3 linked regions of the Arabidopsis thaliana genome follow. The protein of the gene in region 2 purifies or fractionates together with the protein of the main gene of each other region. This does not show direct contact. Each region holds a gene or a part of one and is shown on either strand. Other genes may lie near its edges. The genes, in order: AAC1, ATP5 and AAC3.

Evidence for each region.
Region 1: the proteins of ATP5 (region 2) and AAC1 fractionate together in Arabidopsis thaliana (co-fractionation; one large-scale study listed by BioGRID). This does not show direct contact.
Region 3: the proteins of ATP5 (region 2) and AAC3 fractionate together in Arabidopsis thaliana (co-fractionation; one large-scale study listed by BioGRID). This does not show direct contact.

What each region holds. Positions count from the first base shown.
Region 1 is NC_003074.8:2,603,409-2,614,817, forward strand, and holds AAC1 (ADP/ATP carrier 1), read right to left. Parts: upstream 4,488-11,409; 5' UTR 4,226-4,487; intron 4,166-4,225; exon of another isoform or gene 4,124-4,165; intron 3,631-4,123; 5' UTR 3,623-3,630; coding exon 3,149-3,622; intron 3,066-3,148; coding exon 2,691-3,065; intron 2,595-2,690; coding exon 2,298-2,594; 3' UTR 2,027-2,297; downstream 1-2,026. Other genes in the region: AT3G08570 (Phototropic-responsive NPH3 family protein), read right to left, coding at 1-649, 730-796, 919-1,004; iPGAM2 (Phosphoglycerate mutase, 2,3-bisphosphoglycerate-independent), read right to left, coding at 5,275-5,439, 5,573-5,728, 5,818-5,913, 5,993-6,185, 6,488-6,912, 7,004-7,207, 7,291-7,569, 7,665-7,829; AT3G08600 (transmembrane protein, putative (DUF1191)), read left to right, coding at 9,238-10,188. UniProt on the Arabidopsis thaliana protein: ADP:ATP antiporter that mediates import of ADP into the mitochondrial matrix for ATP synthesis, and export of ATP out to fuel the cell.
Region 2 is NC_003076.8:4,306,743-4,317,379, forward strand, and holds ATP5 (delta subunit of Mt ATP synthase), read right to left. Parts: upstream 5,325-10,637; 5' UTR 5,200-5,324; coding exon 5,104-5,199; intron 4,863-5,103; coding exon 4,815-4,862; intron 4,658-4,814; coding exon 4,414-4,657; intron 4,323-4,413; coding exon 4,210-4,322; intron 4,129-4,209; coding exon 4,042-4,128; intron 3,945-4,041; coding exon 3,816-3,944; 3' UTR 3,512-3,815; downstream 1-3,511. Other genes in the region: AT5G13430 (Ubiquinol-cytochrome C reductase iron-sulfur subunit), read right to left, coding at 483-657; AT5G13440 (Ubiquinol-cytochrome C reductase iron-sulfur subunit), read right to left, coding at 1,689-2,332, 3,100-3,280; IQD11 (IQ-domain 11), read left to right, coding at 9,581-9,649, 9,732-10,037, 10,387-10,599. UniProt on the Arabidopsis thaliana protein: Mitochondrial membrane ATP synthase (F(1)F(0) ATP synthase or Complex V) produces ATP from ADP in the presence of a proton gradient across the membrane which is generated by electron transport complexes of the respiratory chain.
Region 3 is NC_003075.7:14,036,792-14,047,635, forward strand, and holds AAC3 (ADP/ATP carrier 3), read right to left. Parts: upstream 6,557-10,844; 5' UTR 6,410-6,556; intron 6,394-6,409; exon of another isoform or gene 6,252-6,393; intron 6,019-6,251; 5' UTR 5,991-6,018; coding exon 5,520-5,990; intron 5,442-5,519; coding exon 5,070-5,441; intron 4,992-5,069; coding exon 4,695-4,991; 3' UTR 4,497-4,694; downstream 1-4,496. Other genes in the region: AT4G28370 (RING/U-box superfamily protein), read left to right, coding at 1-28, 130-287, 381-440, 533-626, 898-1,065, 1,528-1,856, 2,031-2,147, 2,230-2,331; AT4G28380 (Leucine-rich repeat (LRR) family protein), read right to left, coding at 2,965-4,140; A7 (Bifunctional inhibitor/lipid-transfer protein/seed storage 2S albumin superfamily protein), read left to right, coding at 7,200-7,529, 7,604-7,773, 7,895-7,937; AT4G28397 (non-specific lipid-transfer-like protein), read left to right, coding at 9,217-9,396, 9,504-9,659.

The sequences.
Region 1 (11,409 bases), on a different chromosome or scaffold from region 2:
CCGAATCGAGCTTGGTTCGCTCCTTGCAGTTTCGAATACCTTTCAACGATTCTTGAGCGTAATGCATCAAAGACGTTATGATACTCTCTGACCGCAAGCCTGTTCTAGCCATCGCAGAGACAACTCGTGCGTAATAGTCAATCCTCAGAGCAGAGAGGTCTTCAATCCACCACTCAGGACTATCTCCTCGCTTGAGTTCCCCTGACTCGGTGCCTCGGTTCAGCCGTGACAGCCCTAACACTAACTGTTCTCTGCAAGCATTCACAGCGATAGCCTCCACACATCTATCAGGAATGTGAGCAGTTTCAGCAATGTCTTGAGGATAAAGCGTCTCACAGGAACAGAGGACTTCCACAGACTTCTCAAGACTGCGAAACGCGACTTGCTCGAGGTAAGTCTCGGTCCGCGCAATCAAATTCTCTTCTTTGAAGTCCTCTGTCATCTCAAGATAACCAGCTGCGCAACGGATAGCAACCACGTTGGAGATAGTGATCTCGAAGTTGATGCCGTAGCAGAACTTCATGGCGAGTTCAAACGTCTTAGACCCACCTGGAAAGTCTCGGAGCTCTGTATGCGAGAGATTTGAAGATGATTCTTTCATCTCTGCCACCATTTTCCTAATCTTTCCACACCGAGCCACTAAAGGAAACTGCAAAATAATTCAAACATCGTAAATTGAAATTCCGTCGAACACTTTGTGTGGGCAAAAAAAAAAAACAGATCACTAACCTTGTGGAGTAAAAAGGACTCTCCATCAACAACAATTGTGATGTCTCCCGCAACATCTGAGAATATGCTGCAATTTATATATGGTAAAAACGAATCCTTTATGCATCGGATAAGTAAGAAATCTATACGTGATTGCATAAAAGGAACAAACTTTGACATGTTTGAACGAAAGAGAGACAGAGAACAGACCGAGTGGCAAAGGAGCTGGAGAAGATGGAAGGAGCAGGGGCAGAGGAAGACGAGTGAGATTGAGCATTGTCCGATATAATACCCATTGTGACCTTGAGTATGAATTTGAGGAGGAGCCTTTCAGAAACATATAGGCTTTGAACACTTTCCTTTTCTTGCTCGGATTTTTTAAAAACTCTCTAATAGACTTTATAATGCACTTTCAATTTCGTAATCTTGACTCCAAAAAAAAAAAGAAGAGATGCTTTTTTTGGTGATGTATGATTCAGAGCACGTGAGAAAAGCCGAGAGGGGGTTGTGTGTGGCACGGAGCTCCATAAAGACTCAATTATAGTCTCTTGGGGGCACACTTTCACTTTACTAATTGAGGTCTCTATTACAACCTCCACTCTCAGTTTCTATCTAATCTCTCTTTTATACTAACCAACCACCTATGAACCCTACTTTGTCACCACTACTTTTGCTCTATTTTGTTTCACCAAACAATTGACATGGTGATTTGAGATGTGAAATCCTTGTCGGATCAAAATCCTTCCAATAGCAGCAGACAAATGGCAAAATGACAGATCCTTTTAAATATCTCTAGATCCTTAATCACTAATACATCACTATTTTAATTTATTTCAAAGCTTTCAGAAACACCTTTTGTTAACTCAAATATCTGTTTGGTGTCTTCTTATTGGAAGTTTTCTTGATTTCTATCAATGTTCATAATTCCAAACTGATGTGCAACTCTATGACTCTGTTCCACAAAAATAATTCAGAGATGGGTGATGCTAAAGGGCGATTTGCATAGTAGATTTTTCACTCTCATTTTCCATGTTTTATGCATGTTAACCGAGCTCTATGCATTCGCTCTCTCATTACTACTGATATAGACATAGGTGCAATATGAGGGATATGAAGAGTGAAATATTGACATGCAATATATAAGTGATATTCTCAACAATGAGTTTGCAACATTTCTTTCATCATTGTTGCTACAGTTTAAGTTCACTACTTCGTACAAAACTTCTAAGTTACACAGGTTTGGATGCGTGCATTTTTTTAACTTATAGCCTGAACTAGATTGTAGATACTACCTAAGATAACGAAATCAATATTGCAAGTTGATTAAGACTATAAATAACATGGTAATCAGATAAAAAAGAAGAATTTATTTCATAAATCCAAAATTCTTTAAAATCGAAGAGTCTAACAAACTCTCTCAAACATGAATTATTCCATAAGTAAAAAAAGTTGGCGTCAGAACGATATAAAATTTGGTTTAGGGCACATGCCTCCCTAAGTCTTAAGCAAAAAAAATTTCATCAACATCTCAGTTTATTGCGGGCCTTAAAACCGCAATTAAAATCGAAAAAAGGAGGAAGAAGCAATGCTTAGGCACCTCCTGATCCGTACTTCTTACCGAAGACAATCAGCTGCAATTTGTCGTAACCGGAAAGCACACCAGCACCTGCAACAGCACGCAGAATGTTGGCACCAGCTCCCTTGAAGAGTGACTTGGCTCCTTCATTCTTGAGGATCTGCTTGAAGGCGTCCAAAGAACTCTTGTACTTGACAGCTTCACCAGACGTCATCATCATTCTTCTGCGGACAGTGTCAATGGGGTAGGATGCAAGACCCGCACCATTGGTAATAACCCATCCAAGAGCGAAACTAGCGAAGAAACTGTCCTGAAATAACCAAAAGAGAACGACCACAACATGTCAATATCAACCAATGATAGGCAAGAGAGCACACAGATCAGAGAGAAAGACAACAAGACATACCTGTAAGTCACCAGTGAGGAGAACAGGCTTCACAGAGTCATAGAGTCCAAAGTACAGACCACGGTAGACAATGATACCAACACATGAGATGTTGAATCCACGGTACAGACCAGCAATACCATCAGTCTTAAGTGTCTTTCTGTAGACATCAACAAGACCATCAAACTGTCTTCCACCACCTCCTTTCTTTGCAGCCTTGGCATCATTAGCTAGACGGGTACGGGCATAGTCAAGGGAGTACACAAACAGAAGGGAAGAGGCACCAGCTGCTCCTCCAGATGCCAAGTTACCAGCAAACCACTTCCAGTAACCATCTCTGTCCTTCTTAAAGTTGAAAAGTCTTTTGAAGTAATCTTTGAAGGCAAAGTTCAAGGCCTACAATAGACAAAAAAGAAGGTTAGCAGAAAATTATGTTTTTTCAAAAGCTATAACAAGAAAGAGTATGAAACTCAACAAACCTGAGTGGGGAAATAACGGATAACATTGGCAGTGTTTCCTCTCCATAGAGAACCAAAACCTTCATCCTTAATCGTCCTGCCGAAACAGTCACCAATACCCTTGTAGGGTTCAGAAAGCCTGCCAGCTTTAATCATCTCATCCTGGTTCTGGATCAAAAGCTTAACACGTTCAATAGGAGCAGCAGCAGTCTTGGAGACGGCAGCAGAAACACCACCCATCAGAAAGTCAAGGGCAAAGTTAGTGAACCCCTTCTCTCCTGGGGTTTGGACAAACACGGGAGAAGCAGTTGTTGCCAACATCCGGGATGTCGGAGGAAATTGAAATGCAGCATTGGAGTAGTTTCCGTAGGTTGCATGTCTTTGATACATAGAAGGCCTCTGGTAACCCACTTGAACGTCCTTGGAAACACTTGAACGCATGAACTGCCCGGCAGCTTTCTGCGCAATAGTGGGGTGCTGAACTTGATCAACCATTTTGAACTCTGCAAAATCACATAATCATTGATGAGAAACCAGACGTGAATAACATACTACAAACCAGCCAAGGAAATTCAGAGAATTCTTATCCAACACAAGACATGGTCGTATCACAGAACGCTATCCAACCAAACAAACCAAGTTTATTGGAAAACAGTGAACCATGAACCAAGATCTACCATGTCATATTATAACGCAAAGATCATATAAATTTAAGAACAGCAACTTAAATCAGGATTACAACAATAACAACTTCCAATAATGAAGCCTCGACATCAGATCGGATACATTTTAAACTAAAGTCAACAGATCCAAACGATTTTGATCACTAGAAGATTATCAGATCAACGAAACGCACAAAAAGAAGCAGATCTATGAAACCGATACATCAGATATTCGACAATGAGCACAAAACATTCCGATCGGACTTTAAGCAAAGCAGATAACATAATCTATCAATATAACAATCAGATCTACAGATCGAAACGTCTCATTTACCTTACAGATCTAAAAAACACAGATCGAAGAAACGAATATAACAATGATTTGAAGAACGACGAGATTATAAAGAATCACAGATCTGAGAGAAACGAGTCATACCTAAGAATCGATGGATGAGCAAAATAACTGGAGAGAGACTCCGCCTTTATCTCACAGGAAATGAGAGGGCGAAGCAGAGAAGAGAGACGAAGTTTTCTCTGTGGTGAAGAGGCGAGCTTTGAAAAGAGCGATTGTTTGCCCTTTTATCGTCTCGAAAAATAGGGTCACAGAGTCTCGGTCGTCACTCGCCAGTGGGGACGAGTTATTATCTGCTGCAAAAAAACTATTTGGGCCTTGCAATTTAATATCCGTTGGATCTTACTGATTTAACCCTAAGAACTTGTTAACCGTTGGTTATGTTTACTTTGTGAAAGAATTGTTATTCTTTCTGATGGTACGACTTTACTTGCTAACCGTTAGATCTTGCCCTAGGAATCTGGACCGTTATTTGGTAACGTTGAGGGCAAATAGTGAATGGACGGCTGGAAGGGTAGCGTGGAAAATTATTTTGTCGACCATACCGAACCAGATCAATTTGCAAATATCTTATGCCAAAATTATTATTATGAAAGGAAATAAATTGAAGTGTTCAATTTTATTTTAAATGCCAGATTTTTACAACTTTGTTTATTTTCTTCTATATGAATATGATATTTGTGAATATACAAAAAAAAAAAAAGTAATAATAAACTGATCTAGTATTTTTCACAAATAGTGATATTTTTCTAAATCAACTTGGTTACAAAGATAATTTTTCTATATGCTACGTTTCTTTTCAACTTTCTCTATTGTTCTCCCATGTGTTACGAATGTTCAGCAACTGCCCTTAAAGTCTCATACCTTTAACTTTACATGAAAGGTTTCTTTTATTTAATTCGTTTAGTTATTTGGAGAACATTTTTTAATGAAGTTATGTTTTGGCGAAATAGATAAATCAAATTTAGTCTGTGAATTGAACAACATCGTGAGAGGGCCGGCGAGTATACAGTATGGCTCCCAAAAAATCACGAGCCTTATTAGAGAGCGGTGAAAATAGTAACTTAAAAGAGAATCAGAGTCTATAGAGGCTCAGGTGGGACTTTTAAAAAGAACTACAACAACAAGAATCATCACTTCTCGACGACTTCGATCAGACTTGTCTCATAGTCACTCGGGGCCACAAATCCATGGAGGTTCATCACTGTCGCAGCTACATTTGCAAGCCCAGGTGTCTCGATATCCTGTCTAAACCTAACTCCTGCTGACAAGCCAGGACCTCCTATGGCAATTGGCACCTGCACACACACATCATGTCCAAATTTCATATAAGATACACCAACCACTTCTGGTATTACAACCCCTCATGCTTAATCTATGCTCAGTTGCAATGGTCATAACACGAACTGTTTTAGTAGTGCTAGAACTTACTGGTTTAAGGGTGTGAGAGGTAAGAATCTGAAGGTTCCCTTCCTTATCGAGAGCAGGCTTGCCGGATTTGTCCCTTTTAACCATGTCCTCAGCATTTCCGTGATCTGCAGTCACAACGTATATCCCTCCGACCTGTTCTATGGCATCAAGGATTGTCTGCAAACCAGGACACCAAAACTAAGTGAGTCATTGCTACTAAGAACGGTTTCTAACATTCCCATGTCACAAATTTATTGAAATCATACCCTCACAGCACGATCAGCAGCTTCACAGGCAACAACAGTTGCTTCAATATCACCAGTATGCCCCACCATATCTCCATTTGGCAGGTTTACACGCACCTGAAAATCCATTGGCACCAAACTCAGAAGCCAATTGTTTTAATGGGTTGATACAATGTGATAAGAGAATACACCTTACCTGGTCAAACTTGCCACTAAGGATAGCATCCCTTGCTTTCTCGGCAATTTCCAGTGCTTTCATCTTTGGCTGGACATTGAATGATATTCCACTATCACTTGGAATCTCAACGTACTCTTCTAACTTTTCATTGAAATATCCAGAGCGGTTGCCATTCCAGAAGAAGGTTACATGGCCAAACTTCACAGTCTCACTGTTTCAGTGAAATAAAATTTTAATAGGTTAATAGCTGAGAATTCATTCATTATATGTAACTAACCATCAACGGTATAATCTCATCAAGAAAAAGTGAGCTAGGAGATTTCACTAGTTTTAATCAACAAACAACCCCCAATCATAAATTAGACCTCTACCGAGCAAGTAAAGAAGACTGGATTACTCTTATCACAGTTTCAATTATGAATCCAATTCCAGCAAATAAATAAACCAGGAAGCAGCAATAGAAGAAAATGGCAAAGACAATAACTAAAGATTTGAGAGATTCTAAAAGTTAACCTGCAAGCAAAAGTACGAACGCCATTGTGTGCCAGATATTCACCAGAAGTTCTGTCAATCAATGGTGGAGAAACAAGATAGCGGCTAGGAAGCTTAAGCTCTCCATCATATTGGAGCATTCCTGCATAACGTATATCAGGGACACGTACGCGATCAAACTTGTCGAAATCTTTGTATTCGAGGGCCTTTGCATGCATGACCATTCGATCAGCACGGAAATTGAATGTAACAACTGCGTCACCATCAACAATTGGACCCACAGCCTTTCCATTATCATCAACAATAACAAACGAAGGCAAATACTGGTCATTGGCACCAGGTTCTGCCCTCAGTGTCTTAACTGCTTCAAGAGCGCTTTTAAATTTGTGGGGAGCTTCCCCAAGGACTTGTGCATCCCAACCTCGTTTAACAACACTCCAATCATTCTGCAAGGAAGGAAAGCAAAAATTGGATTCATTTCTAAACTAGACTAGACAAGGCATGACATTCATACAAGATCTCACAAGCATTGCCTACCTCATAACGGTCCATTGTGACATACATTCGACCTCCACCAGATGCAACCTGAGCATCAACACCTTTCGCACGTAAAGCAGCTAGGTCAGCTTCAAGAGTTTCAACAAATCCGACACTAGAACCATCCAAAACATCACGACCATCAGTAAGAATATGGACGCGGATTCTCTTAGCACCACGTTCTGCAAAACCCTTAAGCAGCAACTGCACCAAACAGAACCAAATTAAAGAAAATTAACAAACGCCAACGTTTCAAAAGAAATGTGTAACAGATGAGAATTAAGTACCTGGACTTGATCCAAACGAGAGTGAACTCCACCATCGCTTAGAAGACCAATAAGGTGCACAGTGCCTTTCTCAAAAGATTGAGAGATGTATTTGAAACCTTCATCTTCATAGATTTTCCCTGAAGCAAGGGCGAGATCAACAAGCTTAGCACCTTGAGCGTAAATTCGACCAGCTCCAAGAGCATTGTGGCCAACTTCACTGTTTCCCATGTCGTCTTCGCTGGGGAGACCAACGGCGGTACCATGAGCTTTGATCAACCTCCATGTGTCGGGCTTCCCCTGTGAAGAATAAAATCGAACCGTTGAAGTCCATAATCGGAATCCAGCGAAATCATCGAGGAAAGAAGTGGATATAAACAAAAAAGGAAACATACGTCTTTAAGGGAATCCATGGCAGGAGTTGGAGCTTTATGGATGCAATTGTATTGATCGGGATCAGATTCACCCCATCCATCGAGAACAATCAAACCGATAGTTTTGCCTTTGGGAAGCTTGGGGTGGTCCGCAAGTTTCCAGTTAACGTCGCCGGAGCTACCCATAACTGTGGATTCAGATCCACTCGTCGGTGAGAAATTAAAGGTTTAAGGAACAGATCTGAGAAGCGAGAGAGAGAGAGATAACGGAAGCTTACCAGCGGAGAAACAGAGGAAAGCTTCTCAAAGAGTCTTATGGAGATTCGCAGAGACAGAAGTGGTTATGTGGTGAAGTATGGTAGGTTGAGAGCTATCACTGACATAATATGAGACTTTTATAGAAACATAGAAATGGAAAAGTTAGCGATGACGTGGTACCAATTTAATGGGCTTTACTTTGGGCTCAAGTAAACATTGTGAAGCCCCCAAAAAAATGGAAGGAGACGAATGTTCTAGTTTTAGCTGCTATGAACGAATGTTCTGGATCATGCCGTTTGTAATAGTCATGGTGTGCGCCATGTAAAAAAAATTGTATATACCTTTTTATTTTGGTCAACGTAAAAAATAGCATACAGAAAAGGTCAAACCGGAGTTAACTTAATAGTTTATACGGTATTTGAACCAGAATTTGATCAAAAATGGGTAAGTTTTAGTAACTGGGATTACATTAATTTCTGTTGACAGTAACTTTTTTTTATCTAAATCATTATTTAAACCTTGAGATTGCATTAAATCAAACTGAAATTACACGAAAACCAAACCGAAAACTCATGTAAGAAATTCAGGGTTGTGCACATTTATTTATTCAATATCATCATAATATTAACTGGGAACCTTCAAAAGGTTGGTAGAAGGCTAAAAAACAATTTCTAATGGGCCAAAGACAAAAAGTTGAGTTCCTATATATTGGGCTTAAAAAGCCTGAAACTAGATGAGACGTGGTTCATAGTCAGATAAATGGGCCAAGGATAAGGAAAGACAAAAACAAAAGTAGAAAAGAATCATACAGTATACATATATGGGAAATATACAGAGAGAGATACAGATAACACAATAAGAGGTAGACGGACAACTGTTACGGCGAAATTGAATGCCGCAATGTATCAATATGATTGGTCGAAAAGGAAAGTAAAAAAAACAAACAAAATATTAAATTTTTGTTAATGTGTAAAGGGAGAAAAAATCAGATGAACAGGCTGTATCATTTTTTTTTTTGTGAACAAATGGGACTGACGACAACACTCTTCTTCTCCTTTTTGTCCTTTTGGCTCTCTCCTTCTCTCCTTTCTCTCTCTCTCTCTTTTCCACCGGCGACCATTCATTCTCTCTCCTCCTCCTCCTCCTCCTCCTCCTCAGCTTCCTCCATTGCTCCTTAACCCTCATTCCTCGATTTGTTCTTCTCTTCACCATTTCCCCTTTTTACCCTTTTTCTACTCAGACGTGACGGCGACTTTTTATTCCTGTGTCTCCCACCTTTGACTCGCCCTGGGGGGATTTTTTTTTGCTCCAGAGGCGAAAGAAACAAAAAAAAGCAATGGGGTTTCTCCGTTGTCTCCAGCTGCTGCTGCTTCTGTTTCTATCTCTTCGTCTACAAAAGCTCTCTGCTCAATCTTCTTCACCCAATGCTTCTTCTTCTTCTTCACTCGATGCTCTTCTTCAAGATTACTCTTTTAGAGCCTTGCTTCGTCCTCGTACCGGCATTCTCTACGAGGCTACTACTGTTCCTTCCAATTTGACTGGGATCAAACTCGCTGCTATGAGACTCAGAAGCGGAAGCTTTAGAAAACGTGGAGTCACTCCTTTTAATGAGTTCTCAATTCCCAGCGGCGTTATCGTCAAGCCGTATGTGACAAGGCTTGTTTTGGTTTATCAAAACCTAGCTAATTTCTCTCACTTGTATTACCCTTTGTCTGGTTATGATTATGTCGCTCCTGTCTTGGGTCTTCTCGCTTACGATGCTAAGAATCTCTCTGCGCTTAATTTGCCTCAGCTTGATTTAAGGGTGTCTAATGATCCTATCAGAATCGATTTCTCTGATCTGGAACGAATCCCGCAAGGGTCTAGTGCTAAGTGTGTTAGATTCGATTCTAAAGGTGAAGCGAGTTTCAGCGATTCGATTCAGCCTGGAAACACATGCGAGACTGAGCATCAGGGACATTTCTCTGTGGTGGTGAAATCTGTGGCTTCTGCTCCGAGTCTAGCTCCTCCTGGGATTGAGAGTAAGAAGAAGAAGAAGAGCTCTGATTCCAATTCCAAGACTTGGATCATTGTTGGGTCGGTGGTTGGTGGATTGATACTGTTGGGGCTTTTACTGTTTCTGGTTTTGAGATGTCGAAATTACAAGAAGCAAGAGAAAATGAGGGAGATGGAGAGAGCTGGAGAGACAGGGGAAGCTCTGAGGATGACTCAGGTTGGTGAAACAAGAGCACCAACTGCTACTACGACTCGTACACAACCAATGCTTGAAACCGAATACGCAGCTTAGGATACTTTTGTGTACATCATCATCATCATCACATCTTCTTGATCATCTGTTACTGTCTTTTTCTTTTTTTCTTCTACAATTATTCTTCTTTTGGTAAAGTGTTTCTTTTTCTGATTATTTTTTCTTTGTGGTAAGCAAGTTGATACTTCCACATTCATCTTGTTTCTCTGCTGGTGATAAGGAAATAAGTAATATTGTTTTCTTCTTGTGCTCTCAAATTAACAAACTTTGGTGGTCTCTCCATGAGAATGAAAAGAGTTGGATTGTTTCTGGAGTGCACTCACTTTGTTTTCTTCTAACTACTTTTGCTGTAAAGCTTTGCCCTTTTTGTAATAATTTCAACATCTTTTTGTCTGAGAAGCAGACAGTTGAAGAAGATGTATATCATCCTATCATCCATACTCAACTTTGTTACATTGAGCTTAGCATTCTTCAAAAGGAACTAGTGTGTTCTTGAGATTTGTTGAGTTTTAACATTTTTTGCAGCTATCTGCTTCATGCAACTTGTTGACCCTCACATTTATATTAGAAGATCACCGATGAACCAATAGATTTTGGAACCAAAGAGGTTAGAATCCGGTAGGATATGTAGAAGATGATTTGCACTTGGCAATGTTACAACGTTTATGTTTACATCTAGGATTGTCTTGTTTGCTTACCTTATATGAAAAGTCATCTCGTTCATATGGATTTTTTGCATTCTACATTTTAGAAAAGCACCGTTTGCCACTTCAGGTATGTAACAATGTGCACAGCTACAAATCTTTGCACTGAACAGATTTGGAATAAAGTTTGAGTTAAAGTGAATACATGACTTGGTTAATCCTGGCTTGGGCCATCTTGTGGCCTCTTGCTCATATCAAGTAAAATGCCATGACAACAACGTTAATGGCTAAGTTAGCATTGCAGCATCTCCTCTGACTTCTGCAGATACCAGGAGATTTTTTGTCTCATCATTCCAAAATCTTAAGGTTGAAAAAGAGATGAAGTAAAATGTATAAATGCGGTATTAATTGTGTTTCAAGGACACACAAATAATTGCCAGTTTTTGTCAAAAGGAAACTATAGTTGTAGAATATTCGTCTCTTTTCTTCTTTTTCTGTTATCTGTTCTATTAGAAAGCTAAAGAAATACATCAAAGTCAGGTCTCAACGGTAAAATGAAAACAAGCTTCTTTTTCACTAAAGAGTAAAAGAGATTCCTCTCAACATTGGTCTTTCA
Region 2 (10,637 bases):
ATGCCTTTAAACAGCTATAAATCCTACAAACATAGTATACAGTTAAAACATCCATGTCCCTAACAATGAAGAACTCAAAAGGATTGATACACAAGATCAAATTTCAAAAACCAAGAAGCCAGTGGTGAATCATACTATGATTAACGCACCGAAAAGAGGAAACTTTCCTAGTAAAACAAAGGATTATCTCAGAACTGAACAATCCACACGAAAGAAGTAATCATCAAATGCAATACAAATCCAGCAAGGAGAAGAATGTAGCCAAATGGTACATCAAGCTCATGGAATTCAAATCAGATGACACGTTTGTTCCCACGGATCATTGCAGATACAATACTAGAAATCTCAATCATTCCCGTGAATCATACAACCAAAAAAAGAAGACCTTTTCAAAAATCAATCAATCAAATAAAACTGCAAAGAACCACCGAAAATGAAAAATCAATGTAGAGAGAGAGGGAAAGGGTTATAAATCGGCAAACCTCTGATAAGGCTACGGTGGTAAGATGAGAGATCTGCAGAGGGGAGGGATCTGGGAGCTGAAGAGGAGTCGCCGCCACCATCGGAAAGGGTATGGTCACGGGAGACGACGAAGGAGGTCGCAGTCGAAGATCTCTGCGAGACAGAGAAAAGCCTCCTCCCTGCTACACGCAGCATCTCTCAGCTCAAATGTGAATCTAGGGTTTCGCTCTAGCTGAACAGAGAAATCCTCAGGTTTGGGACGGCCGATGCAAAACAAAACATAAGAGACTACTTACTAGTAAGTCCCTTAAAAATTGTCTTTGAGAAAAGGTCAATTTGTTTTGTTTTTTTTGGTTTTTGCGTATTACTTGATATTTTTTTACTTCAGGATTTTGATGGCATGGTTTTTTTTCTAATTTTAATTAATAAAATCTTTTGGTTTTACGATATAATTTTTTTGTGTGTGTGTATTTGTAAGATAAATTATTTTATTTGTATAAAAATCGTAATTTTTAATAATAATAATAGGGGGTCTATACTTGGTAAAGGATATATTTTGTTGTTGTAATGTTTAAACAAGATTTCCAACAAAAAGACTGTTTTACATCTGTGTGAACTTTTCAATACTAGAAGAAAGAGCTAGAAGGACATCATCAAAGAAGTAGTCATCGATGAAAACAATCTGAACAAGAAAATTAGGCTAAGATCCACAACCAGAATATGACATCTTTCATCAAAGTAGTAGTCTCGAGGTTCACAATTGGATTTCTCACTATGGAAGAGAAGGTTTATGGCTTAGTTGAGAATTGAAGGTCTTCGAAATGTCGTCTCCAGTAAGAACACGAAAGTTTTATAACACACCTTGAACCTTACCAAGTTTTTGTCTCAATTGTGATAATGGCTACAGACTTTAAGGAAAGGAAACTCTCTTACAAACGATATGTTACAAAATTACAAACATAAGAAAAATAGGGATGATACTATTCAAAACTCTTTTCAAATAATAAACAGAGACTATGAAGTATGAACAATGTATTTTCACCAGATGAGACAGATACTAAGTCATACAATGACAAGTTTGTATTATTCAGCAAAACAAGCCAATTTTTGCTGAGCCCAAAGTGTGAGGAAAGCGAACTTGCACGCTAAAATGCCGGAAAATATAAAAACAAAAACAGATTTAAGATCATCCAGACCATGACACTCGGACTGTTGTGCTTTATTCATTAACCAATGAGTAATTTATTCTCTTCCAAGAAGCTGTAGGTCGGTACTTCCAGGTTGTATGGTGCAGGACCTTTCCTAATTCTTCCAGATATATCGTAATGTGATCCGTGACACGGACAAAACCAACCACCATAATCACCAGCATTAGGCAAGGGGATGCACCCCAAATGAGTGCATACTCCAACCACGATCAACCATTCTGGATTCTTGACTCTAACCGAGTCTTCTTGTGGGTCCCTCAGGGATCCAACATCCACACTATTGGCCAGCTTGATGTCATCTTCTGTTCTTCGCCTGATGAAGACGGGCTTTCCACGCCACTTGACTGTCACGGTAGTTCCTGGTTCTATGCTCCCTAGGTCAACCTCGAGGGATGCAAGGGCAAGGACATCTTTACTTGCAGACATGCTCACAATAAGCTTCAGAACAAGCAGGCGGAGAACAGAGGCATAAACAAACCTTCCACCCGACAAGACAAAATAGGCGAATGCCCGCTTGCTAGGGTCACCAGGTGGGTAACGCTCATGGTTATGGTCGTCATAGACAATCTTTGAGTTAGGTGTTTTGACAGCTTCGACTGTGGCTGGGACTTCCGAACCAAAACCTATCTCATTTCCCTGAGTAATGACTTGAGAAGCAAAACCTGAAAATAGCATGAAACATTAATATTTCACATCAAGGGCAAACTTTATACTTGGTCAAGTGTTCAACAACACCAAGTATTAAGCAAAAATATTTTCAAGAGATAACACAGAAGAAAGGAATAACACTAGCAAACATTTAACATTAATGCATAGAATAACATAAGATTATAAAAACGGATTCCAAGAGATAACAGAAGGTGTCATCCAAACAATTTTCTACCATGATATCAAATTCAGTGAAAACTAAACTAATCTATCTAACGCAAGATCCAAGGAAGGAACTTCAATGATCATAAATGCTTAAAACATAAGAAAACTCCTAAGATAAGATTGCAAACATAGCCCTTTTGGTTAAAGATATGGAATTCCAGATTCGTTTACTGATGCAAGTATCTTATATGATGTGCCCAAAGACGATAAAACATCCATTTCCATAATAATGAATAAACTACATGTCAAAATCGATTATCTCATCAAAAAAGGATTATCTCAAAGCTGGTCAATTCATATCCGATCAATCACTATTCCAGCAAGGAGAAGAATGAGACGAAATGGTACATCAAGCTCTAATACACATCATAAGAATTCAAAACAGATGACTTAATTCCCATAGATCATCTCGCAGATACGAAACTAGGAATCTCAATCATTTCCGGACTTATACAAGCCCAAAAGAGGTGACTTTTAAAAATTTATGAATCATTCAATGGATAACACCAGAAATGAAAATCAATCGAGAGACAGAAAGAGTTGTAGATCGGCAGACCTCTTATAACGCTCCGGTGGTAAGAATTGAAAGATGAGAGATCTGCAGAGGGGACAGATCTAGAAGCGGAAGAGGAGTTGCCTCCATCGGAAAGGGTATGGTCACGGGAAAGGACGAAGGAGGTCGCCGTCGATGATCTCTGCGAAACAGAAAAAAGCCTCCTTCCTGCTACTCGCAGCATCTCTGCTCAAATGGGTTAAGACCGATTCTAGGGTTTCGCTCAAAGCAAGAACACACAATCGTAAGGTTAGAGATGGCCGATGCAAACAAAAAGATTAGTCCTTTACCAAAAAAATGTTTTTTTTTCTTCTTTGCGGATATTCCTTTAATAGTCTTCGAGAAATCGTCAATTTGGTTTTTTTACTATTAATACTGAAGAGAACAATGACGGTGTTCTAACATGATAATTATGTAGCTTCGTGGCATCTTAATGTTCATTCGTGAGTATGAATAAGCTACTTGGGCATAGTTTGTAGATTTATTTACCAAATTAGCCCAACGATTCAAATCTAAACAAAAACAATCTCATTGAAATTTGATGTCTCGAAAAGCTTTATTTCGAAGCAAACAACAATATGTAAAAAGCAAATGACAAAATTCAAAGGGAGAGAAGTGGCCAGCTATTATATTGTTTCCCAGGAGGGTCCATATTTATTTGTCAATTGGTGGCATTCATCACAAGCATGTTTTCTTGGGGGAAATTTCTCTCAAGATTTTCAGAGGTTGTTGAAGTCAACAGGTTCACGGAGGAGCCTCTCCATCTGTTGTGCCCTTGTCCTGATTGACATGTCCAACACCTTTTGTTGGAACTCTACGATTAGTCCACCGTAGATACTTGGATCAATCTACAAACACACATTACCACCATTGACATAGATGCTTATATCCATTTTATGGGTTACTAGAAAATCACAAGCCTTTGATGCATATCTGATTACATACCTTTTGTTCCACAGTGATTTTCTTCCCTGCTCCAATGATCTCCTGAAGCGTCTCAGTCAGTTCTTTCTCCTCAGCAGGGGGAAGCGGCTGTCCAAACCATATGATTAAATCCACAATACTGAGTTTATGGTTATTTAAGAGATAACAAGTATTGAGACTAAAGCTTACAATGACTGTGGTAACCAAAACTTTGACATCTCCCCTATGTGCGTTTGTCAGCTGCATAAATTTCTTCACAATGGCATCTAGGTTCTTCAGCTTTCCATTCTCAGCTAACAAAGCTGTTACAGAAAGCAAACAACTTTTAATATCAGCACAACAAGGTCAATCAAAATCATAAAAACAAGACAGTTTCAAACTTGAATTACATACAGAGGAAGTTCTTAGTGGGTTCGGCAAACTTTGCTTGATCACAAGCATCCCTAATAGCAGCCAATCTTGTCCCTCTAGGAACAGAGGGATCCTTTGTAAACTGAGCAAAAATAGGAGCTGTCTTCATTGCCTCAATCATCTCAGAAAGATCCGTCTCAATCTTTTCCAAGGAATTCATTTTCACAGCTGCAATGTATAGCCATGAAGCAAAGTTCCCATTTTCACCAACTAAAGCAATAGGCACCTGAAACAACAACAAGTATAAATCTAGATACACTTCCATTACATATTATACAAAATCCAGCTATCCGCGGTTCATCATTTATGCCAATCAAACAATTCAAGCCATTGTCGCGATTCTCGCATCTACAAAATAATACGATGGTGATAAAAGGGTGTACCTTAACATTAGCGGTTGTTTGAGCAGAAGCAGTTGCATAAGTTCTCAACTGCGATAGAAATATACAAACTTTAAAGATTGATTGATAGCATTCTCAGGAAAATAACAGAGATAGAGTTAAAAGACTTCCAAAACATCTAAAGCCGAGCAATGTAAGCGAGAAAACACGATAATCCCCATTCTATACTGTTATCAATCCAATTAGGCGATTGGATCGACTGATCTCGTAAGAATCGACTCCGAACAAAAAATTGGACTGAAAAGATTCGATTTTTAAGAATGCGAATTACCGCTGGGAAAAGCGACTTGGATCTAACGGAGGAGACAGAATCTGTTACGGCGATGGTCTTGAAGAAGGAGATCCCTGATCTGAAACGATTAGCCATTTTTGTTGCAGATAGATTTTGATTGGAACCCTAGAAATGTGCAAAAGTCGCTCAGCTGCTTTGTCGAGAGCAAAGAGATGAAACTGGTCAGAGGAAGAAAATAACTTAGTGCATTGGGCTTCACTGGGCTCATACTTATTTTATTGGGCTTATTACTACCTGTAGATAGTGGCAAATTTATGATAGTTAATTTGTTTTGCTCAGGTTTTTAGTGTTTTACCAAGTTTCAAATGTTATAGTGAGGTTATGTAATACACAACTTAACTCGTTTTTTTGTTGTAAACAAGATCTTGTAGATTATTATTTTGTATTATTGTTGATATATATATATATATATATATTCAAATTTAACTGTATATATGTGTATATGAAAAATATCATTTTTAATGTGTATTTGAACTCTACAATAATGTATTTTTCTCTATTTCAAAATAATTGATGTTCTAAAAAAATACTATTTTTCTTACGAATTAAGATGTTGTTCTCAATTTTCTATCCTACTATATTATTTGGGAAGTACTTTTTAAATGTAACCTTAATTTTTGTAAGTAATTACATAGGTATGCCATTAAAAATAAAATTTTAAAGAATAAATTAATTTATCTCTTTAAGGATTAAAAAGTTAAATACTAATTTAATTAATTAAATTTAATTTAAAAACGGAATATATTATTAATTTCCAAAAATAATAACCAATCAAAATCAACATATAAGATTTGATATCTAAATTTTAATTAATTTAATTTAATTAGAAAAATAAAATGCATTATTAATTTCCAAAAATAATAACCAATCAAAATCAACATATAAGATTTGATATCTAAATTTTAATTAATTTAATTTAATTAGAAAAATAAAATGCATTATTAATTTCCAAAAAAATAACCAATTAAAATCAACAAATTAGATTTGATATCTAAATTATCATATTAATTTTTTATTAATTATTATAGTTCACTTCTCATCTTTATATGATTCTATTTTTGCCGAAAAATAATATCATCATTATAAAAAAAATAATTAGAGTTTTTTCGCATATGTCATAATTTGAATTTTTAAAAACGAATATAAACTGTTCAATACATGAAAAATATTATAACGGATGAAAAATAGATTTAAGAAAACTTTCTACTGAGTAACGGGTCATAATTTGAAATATTTATATTCAATTTCATACATATTATATTGAAAATTTATAATCTTATATACTACAATAATTAATAACATATTAGATGTGATTCAATTTTTAATACAAGCTGGAAAATCCTAGAATTAACGGGTTTAGATCGATATTAATACAAGATGGTATACTACATGTCAAACTCTTAAATTAACAATCAAACTACAAGTGTATAATCTTAAACACTAAACAATATAGATAATATCAACAAAACATATACAACTCACAGTTTACTATACATTTAAAATCAAATAAAATAATATCATATATTTTTAAATCATCTTTACAATAAAAGTTTTTAGTTTAACTAAAATATAAGCCTACTTGCGGTATACTGCAGGTTAAAATCTAGATTATAGGGCTTATTGGATCTAAAGACGGGTCATCAAAGATTTCCTAAACTGAAGCAAAATATACTGAATATTCAAATATCTATCTATTATCAAATTATAAACAAATAAGTTCGTAAACAATTTAATATTTTATTTATGAAATCAATTAAATCTTAATCACATAAAAATTAGCACAAAAAAAAATATTCAATAATTAAAAAAAACAAATCTCTGTGTTATATAAGTTTTGATACTATATTCGAATAAAGTGTAATATACATTTTCAATTTGTATTCTTTAACTAATTTAAACTAACAAATATATTTGTTAATCTTATACCTATCAAAACTGACAATCGTTTCTTATCTTTATAGTATTTTTGCAAAACTTTTTTGGTAAATGTATTTTTGCAAGACTTTTTCAATTAAATCTTAATCACATAAAAATTAGCACAAAAAAAAATATTCAACAATTAAAAAAAACAAATCTCTGTGTTATATAAGTTTTGATACTATATTCGAATAAAGTGTAATATACATTTTCAATTTGTATTCTTTAACTAATTTAAACTAACAAATATATTTGTTAATCTTATACCTATCAAAACTCACAATCGTTTCTTATCTCTATAGTATTTTTGCAAGACTTTTTTGGTAGATTTGGATAAAAGTGCGTTCGGCTCATATGGTACATTCCCCTATTAAATAAATATGGTGCACTCCTATGTTATTAACTAAAATGTTTAGATTATAATTCAGAGTCACATCATTAATAAAAATAATATTAACAAATAAATGGCTTTTTGGCAAGACGGATTTAGAGGGACGGGTTTTTGAATCAACATTAATAAAAAAATAAAATATAATTAATCCACCGTTTCAATACGGATTAAATTTTTAATTTATTATTTTCTAAGACCACTAATATTAAATATATCAAATCATCCTAATTTAGAAAAGATTATATAAAACAAAAAATGTTATGTGGTATGTATAATGTTACTATATATAAAATTAAACTATAAAATATAAATGTATTAGAAAATGATACAATTTGCAAAACTTTTATATATAAAAAATAATTCTTAAATTTTAAAAATTACTACTTCAAAAAAAAATCACAGGACGGGTAAAGAAATTACAGAACGAGTTTTATTTTAGAATTGAGTTATATGGCGGATGTATTTGAATTAATATTTATAAAATTTTAAAATATTATTAATATGCTGTTTTAATAGGGGTTAAAACTTCAGTTTTTTAACAATTGTCTCATGAATTCGTGGTATAGCGTTAGTTAATAACAATTATAAATTATAAAATATAAATATTTTATAAAATAAAATTTGCAAGTTTTAATATATATTACTTTTAAAAAATAAATCGTCCCGCGGTATACCGCGGGTTAAAATCTAGTGCAACAATTTAAAAAAACAAAACTGATTTGTAACATTTCTTCATAATGTCATTCGATGAATAAATAATTTTTTAGAATTTTTTTTATGTTTTAATATAAAAGATTTTTTTAAAAACACAATTTGTGTAGTTTATTAATCTATGTGTCAAAAACTTAAACATCAATTAAAGAGAAACATATGGAACACTTGTTTTTTTTTTGGAACTTCGAAGTGAAACATATGGAACACTTGTTTTATTTCGGATCGTCTATATATTTTTTTATTTCTTTGATTTTGTCAGTACACTTTGAATAATTTATTTTTGGATTTACATGAATATTATTTTTTTTTTAAAGAAGAAGAATAATATAGAAGGATGCAATTGGATTTGTACTGAAGAGGTCTTGAGAGCGATACAACTTAGAGAATATGTTTTTTTCCATCTGAACAATATGCAATGCGTTGTCATTGTCGTTTGACCAATTTTTAAAAATAGTTTCATTATCATATATAGTACCTAAATTATCATCTCTTGAAAACAAGTCTTCAAATGTGAAATATGACTTTTATAGCAGCGTCGAAAGATACAAAATTAGTTGTTAATTACGGAAACATGTTGGTCTTGATTTTGTTAATACGTTATTCACTTCTTGCAAAAAAAAAGCAAGTTATTTTTGATTTTGTACTATGTTAAAGTGCTTAACACTGATCACTGATGTAGCTATTTTTGGACGGTCACTATTTCAACTTAACATTGTGTAATGCATTTATGAGTTTGGGATCTGTCTGAGGATATTTATGAAGAACTTCCACATGGAGAAACATTTGTTTACTAAATGTTGATATGACTATTCTTGAAACTTAACTTTTACACAAAAGTTAAAAACTAAACAAAATTCAACAAACAATTTGTGGTTAGCTGCAAGATCTACCAGAAGTTAGGGGATTAAGGAGGATGAGAGGGGTAAAAATATAATTTCGAGTGGGCAATGAAGTGGCACGTTCACCTGTCGGCACAGTGGAGAAGAGAACAACAAACCTTACTTCTCTCTTGTTCACATTCATAATTTGATGAACAGTCTTCTTCTCTGATGCAGAAACCCTCTCCCTGAATCTTGATTCTCTCACAATCAAGATTTGAAGCAAACGTTTTGAGAAAAATCTTTTGACACCATCAAGTAAGTTTTTATCTTTCTTATGTTTTTTGTGGTGTACCTGCATTGTGCCTAGTTTTGGTACTTGAATCATCTATTTTGGAATCTAGAGTATTGATCTGGAGTATGATTAGTCAAATCTAGGATTTTTAAGGAAAATGGTACTGAGAGATTGTATTATTTGCACATATCAGGTGTTCAGTGGTAGTGATTTGATATGATTTGGTCATTGTTTGAATGAAAGTTGGATTATTGTTCAGATTTGGTTGGCGGATTGTGGGAGGAATTCCAGAGCAATATAGCAGGTGATGGTTGTACAACAATGGCTAAGAAGAAGGGCTTGTTCACTGTATTGAAAAGGATTTTTATTTCAGAAGTTAATTCAGAAAAGGTGAAGACAAAGATGTTAATCTCATTCTAATGCTGATTGTTGTTTCTGCATCTTGTTTGATTCTTCTTGTGTACTTCTGCAGAAAGAGAAGAGAAGAAAATGGACATTTTGGAAGCTTAGGATTAAGAAAAGATTACCTTCCATTACAGCACCTCCAGAGCACAGGACAAGTCATGAATCGCATGAGGAACAGAAGGAGGAAATTGTGTCAGATGTGGGTGAGATCAGCCAAGTGTCTTGTAGTCGACAGTTAGATTCCATAGAAGAGTCAAAAGGTTCAACATCACCAGAAACTGCTGATCTGGTAGTCCAGTATCAAATGTTTCTTAATAGACAGGAAGAAGTTCTTGCTGCTACTCGCATTCAGACCGCCTTTCGGGGTCATCTTGTAAGCTTGTCTTACCCTTTTCTTATGAAGCTACTGAAAGAATCGACTCATTTTCATACTGGAGTTATGTAGTTACCTTGTAGCTGTGTTGACTATAGTTGAGTAGGTTAGGTAGAGAGCTAAGACGTTGAAAGTAAGTTTAGGCAGAAGGATTTGGGGATTCTGAATTAGTTTAGGATCTTGGTTTGGGCAGTAATATATACATTTTGTCTCCTGTGTCAGTCACCTATTAAGTCTTTTGAGAACCAGATGTGAATCTTTTAAAGCGATTTCTCTTCTTCTTTTATTGCTGGATTTTGGGTTGATTTTTCAGGTGACATGCTGACAATGTTTTTGAACTTCATTGCAGGCAAGGAAAGCTCTACGTGCCTTGAAGGGAATAGTGAAGCTCCAAGCATATATCAGAGGTCGTGCTGTGAGACGCCAAGCAATGACTACACTAAAATGCCTGCAATCTGTTGTGAACATTCAGTCACAAGTCTGTGGTAAGAGAACACAGATTCCCGGAGGTGTTCACAGAGATTATGAAGAGAGCAATATATTCAATGATAACATTCTCAAGGTATGTCTTCTGATCTAAAAATGTAAACTCGTTGCCAA
Region 3 (10,844 bases), on a different chromosome or scaffold from region 2:
GTATCCCGTGTGGCTTCTAGTGAAAATAGTATGCATTCTAACTTTAAACATCGAAGTGATCTTGGTGTATTCTTTGTCTCCTTTGTCACATTTAATTGTAAATTGAAAGACTTTTCCATATTTTGGTAGATGGAGACAAAAATTATTATCACATGGAAGGATTGATGGAAAGTCCTGGGGTAGGCGATGACGGAGATTGTTTTTCCCCTTTGTTACTGAACGCAACTTCTGTAAATGTTGAAGTCTACTATAACAAAGCTGTGAACTATACACTGATGGTCACTTTTGTATCCTTTACTGAAAAGTCGTTTACTCTTTCATAATAGAATGCCGAGTTCTTGTGCAATTTTACGTGTTCCTTAACTCTCTATTGCATTTAGGTCTCTTTCCTCCAGGTTCTTCTGTTGATCCGGCAAATGGAGCACGGTAACACACAATCTGTAAGATACTGTTTTAAACCAGATGGTCTGATATTGTTATTCTTGTACAGAACGAATAAAAATACTAACTTCCGCAAGTTATTGTATACAAGGGTGCTGCTAAGGTATCCATTGTAATGATTGGGCAACAAGCGATCATGGATGCTTATTTGTGCCTCTTACATCTAACAGCCGGTATATTAGTCGGTACGTATTTTGGTTATAATTGTACTCGTTAAAGGATGCCATCTTCTTATGCTTTTTAATTAACTTATTACTTCTTTTTCATGTAACATGTTTAGCTTTTATTTTACTCTGTAGTGTCCCTTCATTTTGATGATATTCTTTGTTGGTTTTTCATGGACCATTCGGTCCCTCATCTGTCTCACTGACCCTTATGCTACCTGACATTGTGATGTTCTTTTCTTTCTCAATTATCAATCAGTGTTAAACCTAAAGCTTACTACTTCTCATGCAGAATCTCTATTTAATGCATTTGCAACCGCTGCGTTCTTCAAGTTCGTAGTCTTTTCGATTTTTGAGATGAGATATCTTCTGGCTATATGGAAAGCAACCCGTCCTTCCAATAGCGGAGAGGGTTGGGAAACAATGAGGAGAGAACTGTCCTTTCTGTACAGTCGTTTCTGTGAGTACTTACTTCTTTGGTGTTTTTTTTATCGATTAAAGCTTCAAACTCTTTTCTTACTGCATGTTTATGATATGGGTCATATATAACTGCTTGATTCTCTTACCCTCTTTTCAATGCTATTTTCCTTGAAACCAATACCAAGAAAATGGTTTGAATTGTCTTCCAAACCACAGAGAAAAATGTAATATCCCAATGAGAAAATTGCATTTTTGGAAACTATACGAGTATATCCTGTCACTATGGTATGGAAAAATGGTTTTGTTTATCTTCTCAAAATTTCCAAGTTATTCACTAGTTTATGTAGGTTTTATTTTGATTCTAAGGACAATAACCTGCACTGAATCTTGAGTGCTAGATATTCTCACCATTTATGTGACTTCTGTTTTTCATTTAGCTGAAACTTTGACGCAAGTTCAGATGCTAATGCTGATGTTTCATCATTTTCACAATATTAAACAGATGGGATCCTTCTTGGAGGCATTTTGATAATGTACCAGTTCCACAACTACATGCAGCCGATTCTCCTTCTCATGTACTCATTTTGGATACCACAAATAGTCGCCAATGTTGTCCGGGATTCAAGAAAGCCTCTGCACCCATATTACATCTTGGGCATGACAGCTACACGGTTAGCTATACCGTTATATGTTTTTGGATGCCCACACAACTTCATGCGTGTAGAGCCCAACAAGGTTTGGTGTATATGCTTGTGCACATTCATGGGGTTGCAAGCCGTCATTCTTCTTCTTCAGCATTATTTTGGTTCACGCTGCTTTGTTCCCCGTCAGGTTAGTTTGTTTTGTATTCATGTAAACTACACATGAAACAATATATCTAATAAAGTGAACACTAAGTTTTCAGTTCGGTTTCAGTTTGGCTTGAATATTTCAAGTCTCGTTCCCATTGCTAAGTTGTTTTTGACTACCACTAATCTCTTTCTTCATCGTTTTGCCTACACGCAGATGCTACCAGAGAAATACAACTACCACCGAAGATTTAATCGGGATGTAAGCCGCACCACTGATTGTGTTATCTGCATGACCGCTATTGATCTCAGACAGCATACCAGTGATTGCATGGTACTGCAGTTTTTTCCTGCTTCTCTTAACTATATTTTTTCCCCAATAGACAGAATCATGAGTGTGGTTGTTCTGAAAACAGGTAACTCCATGTGAACATTTCTTTCACTCGGGATGCTTACAGAGATGGATGGATATAAAAATGGAGTGTCCAACTTGTCGGCGGTCTCTTCCTCCAGCATAGAGGATGTTTTCGGTTTGTTAGGATGTACAGACTTCACTCAGATTATTGCGGGTAACAACTCAAATCTAAATTTTTTATTTTACTTTTTTTCCTTCGAAGTTTCTTTGCCTATTAGGTCTATAGATAGGGTCTTGGTTCTATCTGAAGAAAATTTGTTGCTAACAGAAATATGATTTCATAAATGAGAATTCAAAATGATAAAACCCAAATCTCTGTAAATAGTTGGCCTATGAGGAATCATGCTTTTATTTGAGTGTTTCAGGTTTGTCGGTTCCTTTTTTTGTCTGACTGTGGGATGTATTACTTATTTGTCAAACATTCCTGAAGTGTGATTGTTCACAAAATCGCGAAGTTAACTGCTGCAAAATTTGATCCTGAAACAGGTGGGGCTGGTTCTTTAATTTCAGGTCCTTGCAGAGGTTTAGAAGATTTTTAGATGAAAACAGAGCAAAGGTGGAATCTGTAACTGCGGCTAGATACCGCAGATAGACAATTGTGTTCTGTATAAACTGTATTACGTTATAATCTTAGTGCATATTCTTCACCCCACAACTAAATCTTTCACACATTTCTAGTTCTTTCATTTTCTTTGCATACATAGCATCTTGTCATTGTGCGCATAAGAGTGAATCCTTATGTGTCAGCTGGACCAGGAGCAATGGAAGGTCCTGCGGTAGATGGAGCAACCAGTGGAGCCATGGGTGAGCATTCGTGGTCATAGCAGTCTATGGGGTGCTCAAGTACAGCATCACAGACTTTTTGGGGACGCTGAAGCGGTTTGTCAGGCAGACAGTTGTAGCGATCATCGATGGCTATTCCTCTGGAAGTCAGGTTCCTGCAGATACCTTCTTCTTCACTGAAATAGTTGTAAGAGACGGTAACGTTCAGCAAGCTGGGCAAAACGCAGACTCCAAGAGGGACAGTGCCAGTGAACATGTTGTGTTCCAGATTTAGCTGCTCGAGATGGCCTAGCCCAGCGAGACTGTAAGGTACAGGACCAACTAAACTGTTGTAGCTCATGTCCAGGACTCTTAGCTTGTAGAGATACCCGACTTCGGGGGGTAGACACCCAGATAAGCTTGAGTTGATTAGGAGAAGCTCTTCTAAGGTATCTGCAAAGCGGGCTATGGTTGGAGGCAGACAACCGCTAAAATCATTGTTGGCAAAGACGACAACAGAGGCGGTTGTTCCTGTGAAATCTCGGGGGATGAGGCTTGTTAACCGGTTGTTGTTCACAAAAATGGCATCGAGGGGATTGCTGAAGAGTTTTGGAGGCAAGGGGCCTTCAAACTCATTGTAACGAAGGTCAAGGTACTTTAGAGAAGGGAGTGCAAGGACGACATCCGGAAAAGGACCTACAAAGCGGTTGTTGCTGAGGTCAAGTTCATAGAGTAAGGATAGATTGGCAAACGAACGAGGAAGTATGCCACAGAAGCGATTGCTATTGAGATGGATGAGAGCGAGGTCAGAGAGAAGGCCAATGGCTTCAGGCAGGAAACCAGCAATGTCACCATGATTGAGATCGATTCCGGCAACAACTAGAGTGTTTGGATTGGAAGGGGATGGGGCACAGAAGATGCCAGTGTAGCTGCAGACTGAGGGACCGACCCAATCTGCAGTTAAGTTCTTTGGATCAGAATAGATTACCTTCTTCCATGCTTTAAGTGCACGGTACGCTTGCTGAAGATGCTGTTTAGGGTTTGTGGAGTGACTTGTGTGGTGGTGAAGGCTATGTTTTGCTGTTGATACTAAAGAGAAATGATAAAGAAGAACTGAGATAAGGACAGGAAATGTTATAGAGAGAGCCATTCAAAGACAAGTTATGGATCCTTTGTCTTAAGTGTGGTGGATTTATATATAAAGACAATAAGTTTGGTCTTTGGTGCAACGATTACAGAGGATGAATCAGGTAGTGGTATAAGATCAAGGAAAAGGACTTAACTCCTTACTTGTAGCTGTCTGGAGTGGTTTGAAGTGGGATTTGAGACTGACACATTTGAAGACCAAATCTTAGTGTTGGACTTAGATCACTCATTCGCTTACAACCCAAGGAAACCGAATCTGAATTATACAAACTTTCGCATAACCATACATTTAAAGTTCTTTTGATCTCTCAGCTTATGTTGACTTTTTAACTGATAATATTCACTAAAACTGTTTTAACTACAAAAAACATAAACATGGTATTGGTTTTCTTTGTATTTATTCTTTTGTCAACAAAAGTCATAGAAGTATAGAACTAAGACAAAGGGCCACAACTTGACAGAGACACTCTATATTCTAAAAGCAACATTTATACGAACGGACACACTGCTTTATTCATTCACAGACCTCAAGGGCTATTCTTTCATCATCCTCATCGTTTAGCCACCACCAGAGCCATACTTCTTACCCAACACAATGAGCTGGAGCTTGTCATAGCCGGCCAGTACACCAGCGCCTGCAACCGCACGAAGGATGTTGGCACCTGCACCCTTGAAGAGTGACTTGGCCCCTTCGTTCTTGACGATCTGAGAGAAGGCCTGAAGAGAGCTCTTGTACTTCACTGCTTCACCTGACGTCATCATCATTCTTCTGCGAACCGTGTCAATTGGGTAAGACGCCAATCCAGCTCCAATGGTGATTCCCCATCCCAGTAAGAAACTAGCAAGGAAGCTATCCTGTACAGATTATAGCAATGAGTAAACAGTAACAGAGGACTCAATATGTTGAAGTGAGGAGTTTTCTTTGTTTTTTACCTGGAGACCATCAACTAGAACCACAGGCTTCAAGGAATCATACAATCCAAAGTAAAGCCCCCGGTACACGACAATTCCAACGCATGAGATGTTGAAACCACGGTAAAGCCCGACAATGCCATCAGAGGCTATAGTCTTCTTGTACACGTCGACCATGCCATTAAACTGCCGCTGACCACCTTTCTTGGCCGCCTTCGCATCATTGGCTAAACGGGTACGAGCGTAATCCAAAGAGTACACAAAAAGCAGAGATGATGCACCAGCTGCACCACCAGACGCCAGGTTCCCTGCAAACCACTTCCAGTAGCCATCTTTTTCTTTCTTGAAGTTAAACAGCCTCTTGAAGTAATCTTTGAACGCAAAGTTTAAAGCCTGCAAAACAAAACTATTTGCTTAGCATACCCATCTCGACGTCTATACAAATACCACGTCAAAGAAGAGAAAACAAACCTGAGTGGGGAAGTATCTGATAACATTGGCAGTGTTTCCTCTCCAAAGAGCAAGCATTCCTTCGTCTTTGACTGTTCGAGCAAAACAATCACTGATTCCTTTATATGGCTCAGAGAGACGCCCAGCTTTGATCATTTCATCTTGATTCTGAATCAAGAGCTTCACACGCTCTATAGGCGCGGCTGCCGTCTTCGAAACAGCAGCTGAGACTCCTCCCATAAGGAAATCGATCAAGAAACCAGTACCAGTTTTCTCACTAGGAGCGTGAGCTAATACAGGAAATGAACCATGAGGTATAAGAGACGAGCCAACGCCATGGCTAGTTGGCTGCAATAGACTCTGCAAACCTCCATTGACATAAGCACCAGAGACACAGTAACCACGAGCTTGCACACTCGGAGAAAGTCTATTGATCAAGTAAGATTGTCCATGTAGCTTCTGAAAGACTGATGGATGCTTTGATCCATCCATTTTTTGTACAAATCAGTAAAAGCTGACTCTGAAAAACAAAACAAAACAAAACAAAACAAAAATACAAATTAAACACCACAAAATCTTGCTTTCTCGAAAATTTCTATATTTGCATGCTTAAAAAAGAATGATCATAACCAAAACTGGAACAAAAACAGAGAAGACATCATCAACACATTTCATACGATCCTAGTTAGCTTCGTTAAAGACACCATTTCAATCTGTCAACTATAATGCGACCTAATTAGCACAAATTAAAACCTAGTTGCAGCAGCTCAATTAAATCCTCTGTTTCTAAAAGATCAAGCAACGAGTGGCGTCGAGAAAACAGAATTCACGAGAAGCAGAACAAAAAAACAGAGAGAGCTAGGAGAGAAGCATTAATGATAAAGCTAGAACTTCTGGAGTCGAGAGCTTACCGTGGATTTTTCGCCGAAGCGTTAACGAGAGAGAGAGAGAGAGCTGTGGAAAATTGCGAGAAGAGTAGGTTTCTACATGATTCTCGACTTCTGGTCCTAAACTAAAAGACGAAACTGAGCAGAAGAGAAGGTACAATTACGAAAATGCTACTGGACTCCTTTGACCCGTTTCTTTCTGGGCCCAATTTTAAGGGACCCGAGTCTTGACTTCTTCTAAATGGACCCAAAATTTATTTTCCTAGGAAGATAAAATTCATACCTAATGAAAGTGAGAGACCTCTTTATCATTATGTGATATATGTCTCATCTACCTGAAAATTAAATATAGAAAAATAGAACAATAATCAAGACTTTTTTGGTTTGCCGGAAAAATATAATAGAGGCTTGTTAACTAGGTCTTAAAAAATTGGATGTTACTTAAGAAGCAAGAAAGAAAGTTGAATCTTTTTTTTCTTCTTCAGCCGGACAGAACTTTACAGATGCAAGGAAGGTGATGTGGTTCGAATTTAGTGATCCAAAACTAGTTAGAGAAATGTTCTACAAACAATGAAACAAACCGATACGTATTGAGAGTACCAGAATATAGGCAATGATATCGGCTCATGTATTAGATAACAAGACACATCATACATGTCATGCGATATAAAATAAACTCGAATTACATGCAATAACCTTAATATGTGTAGGTAGATTATTTCAAAAGATTCAAGAAAACTAAAAGAGAACTCAGCTGGAATTCATCCGAGTAAGAAGGAAACATGAGAACTACATGTGTTCATTAAACTAAGCCATGCATAATAAACTCCACCTTAGAAACGAATTGATTACTATATATATAATATATAGATATAGATTTCTCTTCGTACACGAATCATATATATCACCTTCGCTAGCTAGTGTACTGAGTTCAATGAAGATACATGCCATATTGGTAGTAGCGTTCTTGGTCCTGATGAAGACCGCCGTTTCCCAGGACAATAATCCGCTGGAACATTGCAGAGACGTGTTCGTGAGTTTCATGCCCTGCATGGGCTTCGTCGAGGGAATATTTCAACAACCTTCTCCAGATTGCTGCAGAGGCGTGACCCACTTGAACAACGTCGTCAAGTTTACGTCTCCAGTTACTAGACTTAATTCTCGATTCTTCTATTTCGGTTTCTTCTTTCACCATCTATAATTATATTAACTACGCAGGGATCGAGGAATAGGCAGGATAGTGGAGAAACAGAGAGAGTGTGTCTGTGCATTGAGATAATGGGAAATGCAAATCATCTTCCTTTTCTTCCCGCCGCTATTAATAACCTTCCTCTCCGTTGTTCTCTTACTCTCAGCTTTCCCATCTCCGTTGATATGGACTGTTCTCAGTTATTTTCATTCTTCTCTCCATAGTTTTTTAAAAATCTTTTCCTAGAAGAAAATGTTATATATTACATTTTTCCTTGTGCATAAAGGAACTAATGAACTGGTATAATTTTGTCATTACAGGTTCAGAAACACCAAGAATCCCGACGTTGAGAAATTAAATTAACTACCAGGATATATATCTATGAATATTGGGAAGGGAAGCCTTGTAACAGTTCTATATAGTTACAAATGATATATAATCGAGTTTATTGTAGATGTAATAGTGACTAGTGTTACAAAAGTACGAAGAATTTTCTGTAAGCGATTATATATATGTATATTCATCAGATATGGCTTCTCTTCTATTTCTTAGTTTTTACAATAACCATTATTACGGGAAGCAAAAAATGCCAAAATTGTCCATTAAGAATCAAAACTTAAGGACAAAACTTCTGGCTCTCGTGACATTTCTACACTTATAATTACATAGCCAAACGGATAACATAACGAGGCTTTTAGCTTTTTACAAAGAGGAACGTGGTTTAAAATTTTGTTTTTTAACAGATGAGTAAATGGCAACAACCTAATTAAATACATCCAGTGACTTCAGCAGAGTAGATCCAACACTTTCAAAGCCACGATTATTTCAATCGATCAGCTATAATACAATGTTACATAATTTCCATATACCAAGTTACCAACACGGAAACACCACCTATATAACAGCTGCAGCGAGTAGCACAGGAAAACCCTTTATTGATTGATGTGAAAGTAAATTGAAATTGTTTTTGGGTGCATAGTGCGAGTTGTTTCAGGGGAATGGGGGTACAAATCCGAGAATTATCCGAGATAATTTCGCAATTTTTTATTTTAAAATGATTCACAATTACTTAAAATAATTCGCAATTGTACTTTAAAATATCCAAATCCAGCTCTTAACCAATTTAGCTGGAATAATTATACATATATATGAATCACCCGTGACCTAGACATGCATAATATCCAAATTATCTCATTTTTTAAAAATATACCATTCAGATAAGAATTTTAGAAAATCATTTTCCTAGCTAACGTAATGTCTATTAGGGACAATATCCCACATCGGAAGTTGAGTAGGATCTTAAGTGGTATATATAAGATATGGGTCTCTCCACCTATTGCCCACACTCTAATAATGTCTTTATTTTTTTTCTTTTTTCAAACAAGCGTTAATTATGTCCAGCTGGTTCAAATATTTAAACTGGGAAAAAATTATAAAGACTAATTAGGTCTAACAGATTAACCTATACAATTTGCATGTTTACTTAACGAAGGAAGCACGAGAGTTACATGTTTCTTTAAACTAAACATCATATAAACTAATCAACTACTAAATACATATATAGATTTGTGATGAACACGGATCATCTTAATTACCTTGGCTAGTACTCGTCAATATCAGTGAGTTACATACTAATTTTAAGATGCATCGTGCTCTATTGCTTATGACACTGATCACGTCCGCGGTTTCCATGAGTGAAGAAGAGCATTGCAGGGACATGTTCGAGAGCTTTATTAAAGGACTATCTATGCAACCCCCTCCACAGTATTGTAGAGGAGTGAGCCGCTTCAATAACGTCCTCAAGCTCACGTCTCCAATTACTGTAATTGATTCTTCACTCTCTCTCTCTCTCTTTTTCATCTATACTAAAACCGGTTGTTTAACCGTGATTAACCGGGTGGGATAACCGAGTTACTACTATATGTATAGTTGCAGGTATTGACGAAGAAAAAGGTGAATGGGAAGATAGGGGGACGGTGTGATTGCCCGGAATTAGATATAATTTGGAAAATAAGATGTAAACCTTGCGCACAAAACCCAGACCCGAATGTAACAGAATCTGAATCACAACATGTGTTGATGTGAGTGTTCAATACGTCCATGTGGGGGTGCATATGCATTCTAGGAAAGATGATCTTATAATTTTCTAGTATTTGTTCACTTACGTTTTATCGTAGTTTTCTAAGTTGTTGTATAGATATTGTCGTTTAATAAGAAATGTCACACATGCAAACCTTTGAACGTCACAAATTTCGATTCATATTTTGAACGTTGATGTTCTATTGTTTTTGTTTTTAACAAAAGTTTATCGCACTTGTTCCTCGAAATTCACATTTTAATCTTTAAGTTATCTTAATAACATAGGATGGAAAAAACAGAGCATTTTCTTGTTTTTCTTCTCCTCATGGATTCCTCTTCACTTCCCTTTTTACCAATGTCTCCGTTGCTGTCTGATTAAAAAATACGATTAATTTTCTACTAATAGTAGTTTTGGTTATCCATGTGTTTCTTTCAGATAATAGTAGTATTAAAAAAAACACAAAATTAAAAGTCCACTTTTTACTGCCAAACAGTGAGGTTCGGCTTTCCATAATTAATGATAGAATAACTTTGTCCTTCATTTTTTTTTTTTCAATCAATGACGACTTGTACCTACCACCACAATTTCATTACATAATTACTTTTTTATGAATCAACTTGGTCTTTTTAGTCGTCCAAATTGACAAGGCTTGACTCGGAGATAAGAACACAATAATCTGCCCATCCACAGAAGACAGTAAAAGCTTTTCAGAAAGTCTATAGAAAAGATGTCAAAATATGTGGATGTTGTAAAAGATGATATTTGATCATTTGGTAAAAGATGAAAACAGAGAAAACAATACAACGTACAGAGGCGTTGGTGCGAAACATCACTAATCAGAAGTTATGTTGTTCTTGTTCTTGTAACGATTGTAAAACTCTGGTTTTACACAAATCTATAAGATTTACAGCTAAGTTGTGAGTTATTAAATTATAACTTTTGACTAATATTTTGATATATAACCACTGATCCACTATCACTTAGTCTTCAATTTTTAATCGCAGAAACATAAAAACGTCTAGTAAGTCACGAAACCTTGATTAGACAAATCACCAACTCTTTGACGGCGAAGTATATGTGTGTGATTGTGAGTAAGATCTTTATCCTCTCTAGTCTTGCTGATCAAATTGAATAAAATCTTGGGATAAATGGGGATTTGGAATAATGACTCCTCCTCCCCTGAGTTTCCA